3 separate regions of the Mus musculus genome follow, and all the other regions are reported to be linked to region 2. The links are microRNA targets in miRTarBase. Many come from high-throughput screens and were not tested one by one. Region 2 holds a microRNA gene; each other region holds the end of a gene's coding sequence.
What was found. The annotated mature microRNA mmu-miR-496a-3p reads UGAGUAUUACAUGGCCAAUCUC and lies in region 2 at 2,084-2,105, shown strand. An mRNA with a match to its seed (bases 2 to 7 or 8) in the 3' UTR can be bound and repressed. Matches are read on the target gene's strand: a 7mer-m8 pairs with bases 2 to 8, a 7mer-A1 pairs with bases 2 to 7 and ends in A, and an 8mer does both.

Region 1: miRTarBase lists Tbc1d8b as a target of mmu-miR-496a-3p. Seed matches in the 3' UTR shown: 7mer-A1 at 540-546.
Region 3: the mRNA of Pkia is a reported target of mmu-miR-496a-3p. Seed matches in the 3' UTR shown: 8mer at 210-217.

What each region holds. Positions count from the first base shown.
Region 1 is chrX:139,751,414-139,754,413 of GRCm38, forward strand. It overlaps Tbc1d8b (TBC1 domain family, member 8B), which reads left to right. Exons shown (of 21, transcript NM_001081499.2): 21 at 48-2,805. The coding sequence ends at 428. Among named protein-coding and RNA genes, the nearest start is that of Ripply1, 29 kb to the right of the region's middle.
Region 2 is chr12:109,737,082-109,741,512 of GRCm38, forward strand. It overlaps Mir496a (microRNA 496a), which reads left to right and starts at 2,038; the gene lies at 2,038-2,116. It overlaps Mirg (miRNA containing gene), which reads left to right. Exons shown (of 8, transcript NR_028265.1): 2 at 600-726. It overlaps Mir154 (microRNA 154), which reads left to right and starts at 1,352; the gene lies at 1,352-1,417. It overlaps Mir377 (microRNA 377), which reads left to right and starts at 3,429; the gene lies at 3,429-3,496.
Region 3 is chr3:7,441,937-7,444,936 of GRCm38, reverse strand. Pkia (protein kinase inhibitor, alpha) reads right to left here. Exons shown (of 3, transcript NM_008862.3): 3 at 1-2,926. The coding sequence ends at 2,847. Among named protein-coding and RNA genes, the nearest start is that of Zc2hc1a, 60 kb to the left of the region's middle.

The DNA.
Region 1 (3,000 bases), not on the chromosome of region 2:
GCTAAGTTTAATGTTAAAATATTCTATTTCCAACTTGTGTCTTCTAGTCACAATTTATTCAATTTTCAAAGACCCTGTATAATTTATTTCATGAGGACCCTGAAGAAGAGTCGCTATATCAAGCCATTGCTATTGTAACCAACCTTCTGCTCAGGATGGAAGAAGTTGGAAGGAAACTCCATAGCCCGGCATCATCAGCCAGTACAGCTCGTGATTCTGGACCCAGTGAAGGGAATGCAGAGAGCAGTGTGAAGAAAGATCTTCCCTCTCCCAGGGAAGAACATCAGTGGTCGTTTGCATTTGAGCAGATTCTTGCTTCCCTGTTAAATGAACCAGCCTTGGTGAGGTTTTTTGAGAGACCCTTAGATTTAAAAGCCAAGCTAGAAAATGCGAAAAGCTCCCAGCTAAGGTCTAGAACCAAGATGTAAATCTCTGCCATCATCAGCTTTGCCAAGATTCCTGCACTATCAGCCTGATTCCTGGGAATACTTCTCAGGGATATGTTGCATTACTGATGTGCTCCAAGGCAGAAGAAAAAGATACTCAGAAGCACAATGGTTCATTCCTTTGTATTAAATGCACTTTTAAAAAATTCTCCCCCTGTCACAAGATAAGCAGCATCAGGGTCACATGCTCAGTGGGACCACCAGAGGGCGCCACCATATCACTTTAGTGAGTCAGTCACAAGTTTGTCCTGCTGTTTCCATGAGATTGCTGGTCTTTTGAAAGGTGGTAGGATATTTATTATAATGCTGTTATGGCAAATTGGTAAGCCTTGTTTTTCAAATGACCCCAGTCTTATAAAAACTTTACAAAACTGGGCTTTAGAACTGTAGCCTTAATTATCTAGGAAGTTGCCTTTTAGGGCCCTGATTTCCAAGTTATATAACTAAAAGATTTACTTCTAAAACGTAATTTTATTCAGTACAGTAATACATGGTTTTACAGTAATACATGCAACTTCTGCATTCTCTGCTCTCGAGGGATTGAGCACTCGGTGTTTAACGCTACTAACTCTGTTGCTGATAAACACAAATCAAGAAGTCTAAATTCTGGGCTGATATAAAGAAAAACAACACCAGATTTAGACTTAAATCAAATAAAGCCAGCATTTTGAAAAGAAAGGTTAGAAGACAGTTTAGTTAACTATATAGCTCTTTCAGTTAGACTGAGACACAAATAAAAATTCTCTAGAGTGGCATTGTTTATTGCTTTGGTTTCAGAATAGCTTCTGATTGCTTGTGTCCCAGCTTTGTAGTTTGAATTTTTACCCATTGTATTTTAATTTATAGTAGGTAGTGTGGAAGAGTTTCACTAAGACTGAATTGCTGTATTAGTCTGGCAAGCATGTAAAGTATACTTCATGTAATACTTACTAGGGTACTATATAGAATTGCCAGCATCTACCTAAAAAGGTTAGACTTAGATGTGCAATTTTTACATACTTTATGCTTTTTCTATGGCAGTCCATTTAAATATATATGGACGCTGATAGCACTTTCAAAAGAACAAAACAACAAACAAACAAAAACAAGCAATCCATGCAGACCTGACCTGTCTTCTGCCGCTTTTGAAGAGGGACTTATTTAGCAGTTGACTTGGGAAATGGGGCAGGAACCAGTGTGTGGAGCTTCTGTCTTCACACTAGACTTGGATTTCGAGCCTCTGACTTGGCTAGAAGGGAAACAATGAAAGGATAGACTTCCTTCATGGTGACCAAACAAGTCTCCCTTTCTGGGAAAGAATTGGCATGGTCAGTCTTTGACAAGAACGTACTGTGACTAAAACCTAACTGTGTTACCATACCACATACTATTTTCAGTGAAGCTAAGCACTTCTCAAATTGTGTCTTTGAAAATTCCTATGTATCAGGAGATGGCCTAATCGGCCATCAGTAGAAAGAGAGGCCCATTGGTCGTGCAAACTTTATATGCCCCAGTACAGGGGAACACCAGGGCCAAAAAGTGGGAGTGGCGGGGGGAGGGTATGGGGGACTTTTGGGATAGCATTGTAAATGTAAATGAAGAAAATACCTAATTAAAATTAAAAAAAAATAAATTTAAAAAATCCCTTAATGTAATCCACTATATAAACAAACTCAAAGGAAAAAAAAAAAGAAAGAAAATTCCTAAGTTGAATTTGGTCAAATGCTGGTAGCATCTTTAAGATTTGATTATGCTGTCTTTTCAAGGACATGACTACTTAAAAGAGATAGTTGAAAACTAAGCCTTTCTGCCTCAACTCAGAGATGATTAGCTAAAATATGTCCCAATTTTCAATCCTAGTTGATAGTTTATGTGAGAACCATCACACATCTACCATTATGCAATGATTGTTAAATTATACGATGATAGCTCTAGAAAAACATATGGTCCGCGCTTGTATACAAAGATACTGTTATACACACTTTGTTGAATATTTTGTCAGTTGTATTTACAACAGATACTTTCTTAAGAGAATATGTTGTTAGTTTTTGATATTATTTTAAAGTCAAAATGGTAAAGATTACTGAATATTGTATTTTAGTCTTGATCAATAAAAAATAAATAAAGAGATTTTTTGAATTTCAAGAAGATTATAAATGAAAGCAAGACAACAATGTATTTTCCGAGTCTGCAGGAGAAGGAAGCAAAACATGTTCTAGTTTTATAGCTGCTGCTTTGTTAAGCAAATGAGTTGTTCACAATATTCAAAATATTTTGTTGTGTCAAACTGGACCAGTGCATTATGCCTTTTACCTTAAATGTTATAACATGACTTTGTCTTTATAAAACTAAGTATTAAAAATCTATTATATTAAATATGAAAGGTTTACTAAAAGGCCAAATGTTTTATTATGCACTTTACTGACACATAACTGAAATATCACTTGAGCCTATGCATCCTTGCTACATCAGTTTCGACTCTAGCTGCAAGAAAACCAGAATTCATTCTCAATTGGTTTAGGCAGGAAACTGTTTATCCCTGGATAGTAAGTGGCTTGTATCATTATTAGAAGGA
Region 2 (4,431 bases):
CAAGGGTCTTCCTTTCTTTCAGATGTAGCTGTGCATTATACACCGACTAGCTTGAGCTGTGGGTGACTGTCTCCCCAGAGTTTTTACACATGTGTGGCGCTTTCCTTATGCAGTCTTGTTACTGGGTTGAGCCTTTAGCTGAACAGTGGGTTAACCTGGGTAGCATTCCTGTGTTCCTTCTCCTTTGCTGTCTGCTGGTCATAGCCTTAGTGTAGCCTGCTTGATACCTGATGTCTGAACTACAGTCCTTCCTCGTTTGTTTGGTTTTTTTTTTTTTTTTTTTTTGGGTTCTAAGACTTTCCTATTGGGCACTGGTGACTTTGCCAGATGATAACCCAGCCAGTGTTTTCCCATCATTTTTTTTTCTCGATTGTAATTTTCATTTCTTCTTTATTAGAGTTAGTTGTAGCCTTTAAAAGACGTTCTCTGCGGTTCTTTTCTTGACTTAAAAGATCCAAATTGTCTGTGTAGTTCTTTAGTCAGTCTCCGCCCCCTACTGCCACCTTCCCTGCATCCCTCTCTGGCATCCTTTGCATCATGAATTTATTTGATTAAAGGTATCAGTTCCCCTTTCCCACTGTTATTTTCCCCCTTGGCAGGATGCCTAATTGCAATGCCAGCTTCTGGGGTGAACATGGACCCACTGTCATCGGGCAAGGTCTAGGATGGACATGGAGACCCACCATCTGGGAGATTCCAGAGTGGACGTGAACCCACCATCATCAGGCAGGTTTTGGGATGGACATGGGCCCACTGTCGTCAGGTAGCTATGTGAACTTACTGTCAACCAAGCAAGTTTTAGTGTTCGTTTCTTTGTTGTCTCATTTTCAGTGGATCATAAGCTAAAAAGTACAACCTATTATTAGGAAAACACCCTGAAAGTTTGCTCACCCCAAGGGACGAGGCCATGACTTGAGTGTCAGTGCCATTTAGTGCTGACCTTACCTTTATAATGAGTATTGCCAAGTCAGCCTCTCTGTGAACTTTTCAGGAAATCCCTAGAAACAAAGCCTATGTAAGGCGAGGGTCATTGGTGTTTGCCTCAATCTCAGTATGAAGCTAGGAACTTTCCACTCCTATGATGAACACAGGATGAAATCTGTGCATCTAGGACCTCCATCACCAGACCCTTGTAAGGACCCTTAGACACTGTATCCTTGGCAGTGGTGCCAAGACTAGATAACCATGGGTGTCAGGGGTTGGGGAGGAATGGGTTGGACCTGGGGTGCGTGATGCCTTCTCAAGCCCTCTCACAGTCAATGCAGTAACCTGCTGTGTTCACTGTGCTTGGGGGACTTCCTGGAGGAAGCCAGCTTCAGAGAAGAGATGCTGGTACCCACGTGCGGTGCTTGAAGATAGGTTATCCGTGTTGCCTTCGCTTTATTCGTGACGAATCATACACGGTTGACCTATTTTTCAGTACCAAATCCCGCCTTGGAGGAATTTCTGGGGTGGGACTGTGGTGTTAGCGTCTTTCCAGGGTAAGTGAAGGGATGGTTCACCATGGTTGGATCTAGTAAGAGGTATGCTGTCCATGCCCAGTGTATCCCTGGTTCTCTGGTGGACTCAGGGAGGGACATACTTTGGAATGATCTGGAGTATTCTGTAGTCATCCACTTTATTACTTTGACAAATCACATAAAGTCCACCTTCTAAGGTGTAAAATGTGTCCCTCAAACATATTAGGGAAAGGTCAAGGTCAGAACTAGGAATTGCATTCACAGCATCTACCATGATGACTACATCAGCCCCTCTGGCCATGTAGTCTGAGCTCCCTAGAAGAGGCAGTTGAGTTCCCTGGTGGTGTTCCGATAAGAAGCCTTCCCAACTGCTCACAACTGACACATCCATGTGGGCGTGGCAAGCTCCTGTGGCTTCTTCTGGTCAGTGATACTAACCACCACATGCAGGAGACAAGAAGTGACCCCTAGGCCACATGGCATATGTCATATAGCTAGAATATGTAGCCATCTGCCCAACTCTCAGGGACTCCATCCTCAGATGCCTGAGATGTATCAACACAAGCTCTCGAAATCAAGTGTTCGAATGGAGGTTGCCCATGGTGTGTTCATTTTATTTATGATGAGTATTACATGGCCAATCTCCTTTCGGCACTAAAATCTTCCTGGGAGAGCTTCTTCGACTGTGCGGGTTAAGGAAATAAATTGTTCCCTGTACTAAGTGCTGTCTGGGACTTATGTCACCTGGTTGTCAAAGTAAGATTTCCCAGAAATGACACCAACTATTTCGGTGACTCTATCGTTGTTTGGCCATGGCTATCAAGAGCATAGTGCATTGTGTCAAGCACTGTATTCAGATGAGAAAACATCACAGTGTTAGGCATGCTGTAGGGAAGAGCAAATGTCAGTCACCAGTGGGGTGGGGCTAGCTACAAGCCACTCAGTTACTCATTCCTTACCAGTTTCACCAGTCCAGGGAAGATCTCTAAGAAGTAGAACCAGATGTCAGGCTGGTGAATGGGGAGAGGTGGCTCACAGTGACATTTAGTGACATGAGAATGCTGATGTCCTTTCCCTGCTCCAGTGTCCCTTGGGAAGGAGAGAACCCAGCAGCATTCATTACCACCCGATGCTTGCTAATGGTGTGACCTTGAATGAGTCAGCCTGTCACCTGTCTGTGCCTCCGTTTGTCTGTCTGAGAGTGTTAATGGCTGCTTATAAGGTATGTATTCACGCTGAATGTGTGTTCAGTATTTTGAGAGTGCCTGGTTTCCCCCAGAAAGTTGGAAAACCATTGGCTTTTATAATGATAGTTGTTGCATGAATGTCCTTACTCTGTGGATCTCTTCCCACCCTCTAGAACACAGGTTCCTTGAGCTCAGAAACCCCATCTAATGCTCGTAGGTGCACACAGGACGAATGATGCTGAGTGAATGGCAGTTGGACATGTTTTCTTTGTTGAACCCTCTTTGAGGCCTCTCAGAAGCCAGAGAGAATAGAGGACGGTGCAGACACCTTGTACCCTGATGCTGCTGGTTTGTCTGTGCGGTCTCTCAGGATACTGCCTTGGAAAGGGAGTTATCCTCTTTTAGGTCAGCCTTCATTGGTGGGCAGGATGGACCCTACTACACAGAGAGTCATGGTTTCTTCTATGTCAAACCTACCTCAGGACTTCTCTAGGAGAAACACTTTGGGATTCAGACTTGGTGTCCGTGTGCTTCTGGGTGAGTGACCAGTTTCTGGCCAAAGCCTGGATGTCTGTACAAGTCTCTGGCCACCTGTAGGCAGGAGAGAACTCTGCAAGTCAGTCCATTGCTAGTCTGCTTTGCAGTTGGACCTGGGGGCTCATCGGAGGTAATGCCAGCCTCCCTAGAGGGTGGGAGTCAGGGAGCCAGAGCCGAGGGAGGCAGGGCTGCCTGGGGAAGAGGCGCCCTGCTCAACTCTCGGCCTGTGCTGACGTTTGATTCTTGAGCAGAGGTTGCCCTTGGTGAATTCGCTTTATTGATGTTGAATCACACAAAGGCAACTTTTGTTTGAGTATCAAAGCCTGCTTGGGGTGGCATTGGGGACACGTTACAAAGTTCTGGGGTCTCTGCAAATGTCATGTGCTAGAATGGAAGGTGTGGATATGGGGATGGTCAGGAAGGGGTGTGGCTCAGAACGCCACGTGACCAGACATGTAGTCCCAGGAACCAATGGAGAGATGCCAATATCTACTCCCTGACTCTTCTCAGCCTGAATCCTCTTTGTCACACCAGCACCTAGCCCCCCTAGTTGCAGACACACTCGCTGTTCTATCTCTACTCTGAAGATACCTTGACAAAATGAACTCTGTCCTTTGACAGTGTCAAGGACAATGGCAGCCTTCCCTCCCCACCCCCTTCCTCTCCTCAACTCACTGGGTCAGGAGTGCTCACATACCATCTGTTTTTCCCCCCTCCCACCCCACCCCCTCAACACACCTCTGTCTGTTTCTCTTTCGTCCTCATCGCTCACCAAACCTTGTTCTCCATTTTTGGATGGGTTAGGAAATGAATAGAGGCGACCAGCATTTCATCCCGTTTACATTAAATAATAGTGATAAAATAATCACAAAATAACACCACAAACTACCAGAATAGCTTGGAGGAAAATGTGTTCAATTGACTACAAATTGGCAGAAGAATCCAATTTTCTTGACAACATTTGAGCTGCGACATTTGACCTGGGGAAACAGTACTCTGTAGACATGGCAGCCGCAAGGGGCAGCTTCAGTAGTGGCGGATGCTATGAGCAGTAATATTTGTGGTAGATGAACGCACATTGAGGAATCAAATCTTCGTTCAGATTTTTAAATGGGAAAGAATTGATCCTAATGAAAATGATTTGAGGAAATAACAAGGGAAATAAAAGAAATGAAAATGGCCCAACAGCACAGTCAAGGAAGCTAAACAGGGAATTGGATTAGTTTAATGGAATTTACTTTAAAAAA
Region 3 (3,000 bases), not on the chromosome of region 2:
TGTACTAACATAAAATGTTCTTAGTTTAAAAAAGTTAAGCTCAACAAATTCTACAGCTTCTCATTCATTGTTAATGTGTTAAAATGGAAAATTTTGTGTTTCTAGGTTATTAAATAAAAAGCAAGAATATTTGTTCACATACATAGCATGAACATAGCATGTAAATTTACAGTTTACATGTCTTAAATAAATTCAAAATAAGCTATAATTGAGTATTAAAACAACAACAACAACAAAAAAAGGTAGGCTCAACCACATGTGTCTTTGTCCCAAAGACATGTGTACAAACCCAAGAAAGGCTAGTCTATTTAGTAACTTAAATTCTTTCTCTGTAAAATGCAAGCTGACTGAGTGTATTATCTATAGTTTTCCATACAGAGAAACACACTGTGTAATTAGCTTAAATTTTATGAAATGTGGATTCAAAATTCTGTTGATAAACATGGGCTCAAATTAGCTTTTTAGTTTTGCAAAAATTAGTCCTTATTCATGTTCACATTGTAATTTGTGAAAGGGGCATAAGATGAAACTGAATGGTACATTTGGTTCTGAAGTGACTTAGCTGGGGTAGTTAACTAACACCCCTTTCCTTGGGCTGCCCACACTTCCATCTGCATTTACAGATTCATTCCCTATGTAGTATTATTTACTTGCAAATGATAAGTATTAAATGAAAACCAGGAGATTCTATGCACTTTTGCCAATTAAAATTTATGTGATGTGACAAATTCAGAATGTTTATCTCTTTTCCCTTACCAGCCACAGAATCCCTCTAGGATTGAATACAGGACACCAAGTAGCAGTAAGAAATCAAATGAAATCAGAACCTCCCTATGACTTCTGCATTTAGCACTACTTATATATTTAAAGACAAGCATGGCACCGCATGCATTAGTAATAGTATATGACACAGGGGTATAACCCTTCCACACAGTCTTAGCACTGGTTCAACACTTTACAAAATGCATGTGAAACCAGTGTGGAATTACACAACTTTAAGAATGATCTTCCTATTCACAAGAAAGCTATCAGCATAGTTAAACAAGGACATTGAAACTGTTGGATGTTGTAAATAGATTATCGGAGATTGTCTCAAATAGGCCATAGGTTCACAACTTTGAGTCTATCAATAGGTAGATTTGTTTCAATTTTAGCTAGCCTCCAATGACTTAGATCAAAGCAAGGCCTCTCATATTGAATGTATTTACTGTTCTATATCCAGAAAGGCATACTTAACAGTGCTTGTTTTTCTGGAAAACATCCAGTTGGGGACTAAATGAGATTCATATATTCCCAGTCAGTAATGAAAGCACTCTATGGGAAGATATAGGCAGACTTCCTTGTCTACCTTGTCTGTAACTACAGACTCAGGTCGAGTTCCTACCGTACCCAGGTCTGCCTGTTGAAACACCTCTACCTACTTAACCTGGAACTGTAGCTATGCTAGTGCTCCAGGACACTTAGAGGCTCTTCTGTTGAGAAAGTCTTCTTTCATCTGTTATTTGCCTCCTATGATGCACCAGGTGAACCTTGGGCATCTAACTGGATCCTCATTTATTACCAAAGATAGTTGGTTTCATAATACTGACCAGAGAGGGTTATACAGGCCACAGAAACTCCCCATACAAGAATTGTGATGTCAAAACACAGCGTAGACCATCAACAGCATCAGTAAAAGTGTAGTTGGGTGATAATTTTTATATCTGAATGCAATTCACACAAATTATTAGTAAAATTTTACAAACATTAAAAAGTGCATAACAACATTTGGGTATGAAAGGGCTGAGAGGGGCCACAGCACAAGGGCTTTACTTTTGAGATGGGTGCCCACAGGCTTTGAGGAAAACACTTCCTTCACAAGTTGTCCTCCTGCGTTAAACAGTGGCACCCAGCAGTGTGAGAAAAGTGATCCTCACAGCACAACATTTCTAGCTCTTTGCATTATCTGGCATTCTTTGTTTATTTTGTTGATTCTTAAAAAAATTCTTATAATGAAAAATTAAAGTATCAGTTGAAAGTACTTATTTGGAAATAAAATCAATATTGAAAGACAGAACGCTGGTCTGTGTAGATACTAAGACTGAACTCAGGCAATATTCACATTCATGGATATTTCCACATGCCTGTATAATAAAGCAAAGTGGGCTCAGTGAGTCTAGTGGATGTAACCCTCGGCAGTTATCAAGAGGAAAGTTGTGTTTTACAAAAGAAGGTTCTGCCCTGTTCACGCCACAACACTATGGGAAATTAAAAAGGCAGCCCTTTAAAAAATGAGCGGTATAAAAATTCACAGTCATGTACATCATTTTGTTTTATGTAAGCAATCAAAGGGCAGTGCAGAGCAGGTGTACTGTACGATACAAAACGGCGTAAGTAACAGCACTCACACACAGGGACATAATGCTAACTGTGCTCTCTGGATGGTTCTTTTTGTGAGTCAATACTCCAGCCAGAGATACTGAAACTCTGGGGTTCAACCAACTCTTTTCAATTAGACACAATTAAATCCTCTGACATCATGAGGGGCCAGATGCCACAGGAATCATCAGCTAGGCAGTGCTACTCTCTACAAGCATTTCATTATACGGTCAAGTGGAAGGACCCATACACGAAGGAGATCCAAGCACAGCCCAGGTGATTTCAACCATTGCTAATGACAGAGGTGGGGAAAAGGCTGTGTGCAGACACAGGCTCCATCCCCACTTGTGACATGGCAACCAACAGTGTCTTGCTGTGCAGCGCAGCCATTTTCTTCCCCTCCGTTTCACCCGTGGCTGCGAATACATCCGAGCATCGCCAGGATATTTGCCACATTGTCAGATGTTGATGACCGTCAGAATGGAGTGTTAGCTTTCAGACTTGGCTGCTTCTCCCTGGGCTTCTCCACTTTGTTCGGTGGAGCTTCTCTGTCCATCATCTTCACCTTCTATAAGAGACAATGAGAAGTGAGAGCAAAGAAAAGCTCATGGTTCCTGTCTCTCAGAATGCTGGAGACTTCAA